2 linked regions of the Kluyveromyces lactis genome follow. The protein of the gene in region 1 interacts with the protein of each later gene in a biochemical or structural test. Links are inferred from orthologs where the notes say so. Each region holds a gene or a part of one and is shown in the gene's direction. Other genes may lie near its edges.

Region 1 (3,765 bases):
AGCGTATTCAAAAGCGTATCTAATGACTCTTTCAGAAGCATCCTGAGTAATCAACTTGATGGATTGGACGACACCTGGAGCAACAACGTGTTCGATACCAGAATATTCACCTTCAGTGTTTTCTCTGATCAAAACTAAGTTAACGTTTTCGTAAGTAGTCTTGTAACCCTCGATAGATTTAGCTGGACGCACATTAGCGAACAAACCGAAAGTCTTTCTTAAGGTTAAGTTCAAGGATCTGTGACCCTTACCAATTGGAGTAGCCAATGGACCCTTCAAAGCAATCAAGTTCTTGTTAATTGAAGCAACAGCTGGATCTGGAATAGTAGTTAATCCGTTAACGAAAATTGGACTCACATCACAACTTTCCCATTCAATAGGAACCTTGGCTGCGGAAAAGATCGCCTTAACGGATTTGGAAATTTCTGGACCAACACCATCACCTTCAATGAAGGAAACAGTGTACTTACCAGTCTTTGGGTTTGGCTTACCGGTGTATCTACCGATACTTGGTTGTTTCTTGGTAGCCAAAAATCTACACGATTGCTTCACAATTGATTGTCTGAACATGTCTTTATAGTATGATTGTTGAGGAGAACGGAGAGAAATAATGAAATCCCAAAAATATGTGTCTGACGAATTTCGTTGATATTGTGTCAAATCAGTGACGGGTTACGTTCGTTTTGACTTGAAGATACGAATTGAGTTATTTCAGTTCGTCGTTACGTTGATTCTCTGTTTAATCTTACTCTAGAAGATAAACGATTAATTGGAAAAAATGAAAACCACAAAATAACACTGGTATATATACACCCTTTTATCTGCTTTTGTATCACTCAACAGTCGGAAAGACAGAACCTTACCTCGAGAAAACGAGCTTATATTTATCCGTGTTCAATTGCAGAAATCGACAGGTATTCTGAAATCCTTTATTTTAGGATATATATATATTCGATTTATATTTCTCAGATACTTAATGTAATTTCCCATATGCATCAACATTAACTGAGCACACATAGGCTCGAAGTAGTGCAGCGAATTGGAAAACATCTCGTCATGGAAATCGTTTCGGGACCGAGAAAAGGATGATGGTTCACGGAGGGTAACTCCGAACACGGCCTCGGTTTCAGTCATGTGATGTGAAAATTATTTGCACGTGACTGTGTTTTTTTTCTCTGCTGTTTTCATTGTATCGTTGAAAAATAGTAGCTGGCCATCCATTGAATATTATGAACCTTCCTTTAAAGAGTGCAACATTACTTGTTTGGACAACTACCCTTTAAAAGGAAAAAAGTATACTCAGCTTACCATTTGAAACATCAAATTGTTGATATTTTCCATTGATAACCATTTAAAGTTTTTAGCTAAAGACTTAGAGCTCAACCAATTGTTTGGCATATATTCACGATGGCAAGAGAGACGAATTTGGTAAAATGCATAGGTAAAGAAAGCTTTGAAAAGCTGCGCGATATGAAGGTGTTACTTGTTGGCGCAGGTGGAATTGGCTGTGAGCTTTTGAAGGATTTGATTTTGTTGGAAATAGGTGAAATCCATATCGTTGATTTGGACACTATTGATTTATCGAATTTGAACAGACAGTTTTTATTTAGGAAGAGAGATATTAAACAACCTAAAAGTAATACTGCAATGAAAGCAGTTCAAAGGTTCAGCAACTCTAAACTAGTTTCATATCAGAATAATATCATGGATACAGAAAAGTTCCCACTTTCGTGGTTTGATCAGTTTTCGATTATATACAATGCATTGGACAATCTAGCGGCAAGAAGATACGTCAATAAGATGTGTCAGTTCACTAATAAACCTTTGATCGAATCTGGGACTTCGGGATTCGATGGATACATACAGCCAATCTTCCCAAGTGTCACTGAATGCTTTGATTGCACCACTAAGGAGACACCAACTACGTTCCCGGTCTGTACCATTAGATCCACGCCATCACAGCCAATCCACTGTGTGGTTTGGGCCAAGAATTTCCTATTTGGCCAACTTTTTGCAGAATCCTCAGAAGAGACCGTAAATGATCAAGATTTAGGTACTGATGATAAAGAAGAAATCGCCCGCATCAAAGAGGAGACTAACGAATTACATGCTCTCCAGCAGTTAGTCAAGTCCGGCGATGAGACGAAAATCACAGATATTTTAAAGAAATTGTTCGTCGATGATATCAATAAACTTCTAAAGATTGAAAATCTTTGGAAAACGAGAGTGAAACCAACACCTTTAGGTGCTTTACTACCATCTGATAATATCCCAACAGATCTAGCTCAGGTATGGACATTGCAAGAAAATGTAGATAAGTTTATCGAAGTTACGAAGACATTGATGTTGAGATTAAGGCAGGAACCATTCATAGAATTCGATAAGGATGATGACGATACCTTATTGTTTGTAGCTTGTGCCGCGAATATCAGATCTTACATCTTCCACATTGCACCTAAATCTGTCTTTGATATTAAACAAATGGCTGGTAACATTATTCCTGCCATTGCCACTACAAACGCGATCATCGCCGGTCTTTCTTCATTGGTTTCTTTACGTGTTCTAAACTTGTTGAGTAACGTATCAAATAATCCTTTAGAAATTCCAATGGCATTTACGGCAAGGGCAAGTAATATCACCACAAATAGGTATCTATCGAATCCAACTCTCGCACCCAAGAATCCTCATTGTTCAGTATCTTCTAACATTCAAAGAGCCGTACTGAAAATACCAAAGGCAATTGTTGAGCACATGTCTTTGTACGATCTTAATCAGAAAATCATTTCAAAATATGAGTTCACTGGTGAATACTCCGTTCTCGATACTAATACTAACAGCTTATTGTACGATTTTGATTTTGATGATTTAGAATGCCGGAAGCTTTCAAGATTCAACTTCAGAACTGGTACTTTTCTTCTTTATAAAGACGAGGAAATGGAAGATGGTGCTCAATTAAGGCAGTCAATTGAGTTCTACTTGGAATTTGTACCAGAAAATAGCGGGGAAGACCTTCAGTTACCAAATCTACCAAGAGATACATACACTTATCATTCCCCTTATGAGAATGCAGAGGATGAACAAACAGCTGTCGATGCAGACCAAGATAGAACTGAAGACCATATTCAAGCCATCGAAACCCTGATAGTAGATGATGAGCCTGCCGAGGATGAAAGGAATAATTTGAAGAGGCATCTTTCAAATAGTATTCCATCTCCACCAACAAAGACACCCAAGTTGAATGCATCACAATCTGATGAAGATGATCTTATCCTGCTCGATTAATTGAGCATCGCTAGTCTTCCATATCTATAGATATCTGTTTTACAGTGATGGATATATATATATATATAAACGCACATTAAAGAACTGTAATTATAATAGTACAACATTTTTTGGAGTTTTATTACGTAGTAACATATGGCAAATATGATGAGGAAAGTACAAACAATGATTACAACTGCCAGAAAACCAAAACTGAAAAATAAAGAAGAATTCAACCATTATCATAGATGAGAAAACAGTTATATGCCCATTTGCCAAAGTTGAAATATTGTGTGACAAACATTACGGTATATCAGGTTATTCTCGAATAGATGATCTTGAATGACTTTTTAGTCTTTGCAACCAAGATTCTCGTTTTTTGGATCTTGGTTGACGTTCCTCTTGGCCATCTTCGAAGTCGCTGTCTGTCTTTGAGGTTGGGAAATCATCTTTACTTATGCCCACTATTGAAGGCAGTTGTAACATTTTTGCACTATTTGTGCT
Region 2 (2,678 bases), about 150 kb from region 1:
ATATTATCCGAGCAAATGAGATGGCAAGTACATGAGAAATTTTTTGGCTTATTCTTTGTCTTTATAGTTTGGCCATCATGTCTAACAATATTCACCTTATTACCAAGTAGGAGAGCCTCTAAGAGATCCATAGTTCTGTCGGACCTTGCCATTAATACAGTGTGTGTCTCATATTCTTGAACAAGAGTAATAAGATCTCTCAAGACAGCAAATTTTCCCGATGTCTCAGCAAGGTGGCCAGGAATGTCCTTTGTTATCAAGGATTTTGGCATAAAATGGTCGATTAAAAGGTAAGGGTGTGTAGCAACATATTCACTATTCAAACACATCGATTTCATAGACCCTATTACGATATCTTCTCTATAATCTGATGTTTCAAAGTACTTCAAAATATCTGAGTAATGCAACGATACAATTTGGTCGGTTAACTCTTTCTGATATAAGCACATGGATGCAGGTAACCAATAGTCTCCAGACGTGTCTCCAGAAACTCCCATTGTTTGTGCATCGACAATCGCAGGATCCGGCGCAGTATCTAAAATCTTCAGTAAATCCATGATGCACTGAATTTTTCTTTCTATTCAACTAATTGGACGATTTAATGCTCTGGATAGTGGAAGTTCTCACTTTTGAGTGCTGCTGACACTAATTCTCAGATTAGCAATTGTTTTCACAGTAAGGCGTCTGACGGTACTATAGCCTGCACATCATAATTCCTGCTGTTTATACTTTTAAACCAATGCTCATTTTTTGATCAAAAAAAATCCAACCGTAATAGAAGCCTAACATGAAATTAAGATCACTCAAGCTGAGAAGTTCATGAACGAAAATAGTGAACTGTGCTAACTGGAAGCATTGATAAGAGTCGACATACTTGGAGAATTAGTTTTACAATTAGCTAATAACTAACCGATTGTAGTGACGTACAAATAATGAGTGGCGCAGGAGAATTGAGTGCAGGTATGTCAACATGATAAGATATTTCAATCATGATATCAAGTAATGAATATAACCGGAATAGGCTGGGAAAGTGAGTTTATTTACTAACAACAGGGCATTCTAATCCCAACAGATGAAATTGCTCTATACGATAGGCAGATCCGGTTATGGGGAATGACAGCCCAGGCCAATATGAGATCTGCCAGTGTTTTGTTAATTAATTTAGGTGCGATTGGTAATGAGATAACGAAAAATATCGTTCTAAGCGGGATTGGTTCATTGACCATATTGGATTCTCATGATGTAACAGAAGAAGATTTAGGTGCCCAATTTTTTATCGGAAAGGATGACATTGGCACGAAGAGATTGGAGGCCGCAAGGCGCCATATTGAAGATATGAACCCTAGAGTTAAGTTAACAGTGGACATATCAGATCTTCAGTCCAAGAATAAAGAATTCTTTTCACAATTCAATCTAATAGTCATAACGGACTTATTTCCCGCAGATATTGAAAAATTGAATGAAGTGACTAGGGAACTTAATGTACCTATCTATGTGGCAGGTATCAACGGGCTCTCTGGTTACATTTTCACTGATCTAGTGGAGTTTATATCCACTGATGAAAAGGTGAAGAGTGCTCGTCCTGAACAACTCGGTAAACAGAGCCCCAATAAGGAAATCATCAATCTATCTGAACGGAAGGATGAAGAAAATAATGCAGTTTATCAGGTCATTACCACCAAACATACTTATAAGCCATTGAAAGAACTTCTGAAATCTGCTACACTTATTAACCAATTGTCTAGACGGCAATTGAAAAGAATGACTCCAAAGGTTCCCTTAACTCTTACACTATTACAGTATGAAACTTTTCAAAACATAAATTTAGATGATTTTAGGAAGAAGTATGATTTAACTCGTAAGCAGCTTGGTTTATTAATTGGAGAAATCAGCAATGATACCATTGAAGAATTTGTTGAACAAGCCGCTGTAGAAATCAGTCCTGTGGCAGCAATCATTGGAGGAGCCGTTGCACAAGACGTGATAAATATTCTAGGGAAAAGGCAATCTCCGCTTAATAACTTCGTTGTTTTTGATGGTACGTCTTTAGATATGTGGGTATTCGAACTTTAATGACCCTGGTTTAGTAATTTAGCAATCAGTATCATTATATAGGACTAATTTATATAACATATGCTCATAAAACGCTTTATGAGATTTTTATCAAATATGTACCTGGTTGGAAAGCATAAGCATGGTATGTTCAACACTACTGCCATCAGGACAATAATTATGTTTGACCATTAACAGTTACTTGTTGCAAGTGGGACATGAAATTTTGTAAAGAAACATCATCAGTCAACACGATAGTTGAACCAGCGACAGCACCACTTTGATAACTGTCAGATGGGTTCAACTTGGATAACAAGAATCTGGCTTGCGAACCGCCAGCCTCAGTATCAATGAATCTTGGTAGAGGGAATCTGTCAATCAATAATTCTGCTGCTTCAAGCTTTGGTTCTTCTAATAAGGACTTGAAGTCTGCATACTGCGGATCATCTTGGTAACCTGCTTTTCTCCATTGAGCAATCTGTTCACCGTGATAAATCAAAATATAAAAGAAGGTATCCAACAACAAAATTGTGTTTGGTTTCACTGAAACAGAATCTAACAACACTGGTTGAGGTTCTTCTTCCATGGAGAATGAGGTTAGAGTAGGCTGAATCATAATCAGTGAG

What was found. The genes of interacting proteins can lie anywhere in the genome.
Region 2: the proteins of UBA2 (region 1) and AOS1 form a complex in vitro, tested with the Saccharomyces cerevisiae proteins (2 studies listed by BioGRID). The link is inferred for Kluyveromyces lactis from reciprocal best matches to the Saccharomyces cerevisiae genes UBA2 and AOS1.

The regions. Positions count from the first base shown.
Region 1 is NC_006041.1:285,630-289,394, reverse strand, and holds UBA2 (E1 ubiquitin-activating protein UBA2), read left to right. Parts: upstream 1-1,407; coding exon 1,408-3,282; downstream 3,283-3,765. Other genes in the region: isocitrate dehydrogenase (NAD(+)) IDH2, read right to left, coding at 1-570; KLLA0_E03081g (Rho GTPase-activating protein), read right to left, coding at 3,580-3,765. UniProt on the Saccharomyces cerevisiae protein: The dimeric enzyme acts as a SMT3 E1 ligase. It mediates ATP-dependent activation of SMT3 and formation of a thioester with a conserved cysteine residue on AOS1.
Region 2 is NC_006041.1:431,068-433,745, forward strand, and holds AOS1 (E1 ubiquitin-activating protein AOS1), read left to right. Parts: upstream 1-932; coding exon 933-960; intron 961-1,072; coding exon 1,073-2,073; downstream 2,074-2,678. Other genes in the region: HDA3 (Hda3p), read right to left, coding at 1-557; GTPase-activating protein SEC23, read right to left, coding at 2,231-2,678. UniProt on the Saccharomyces cerevisiae protein: Could be involved in a ubiquitin-related process important for DNA damage tolerance.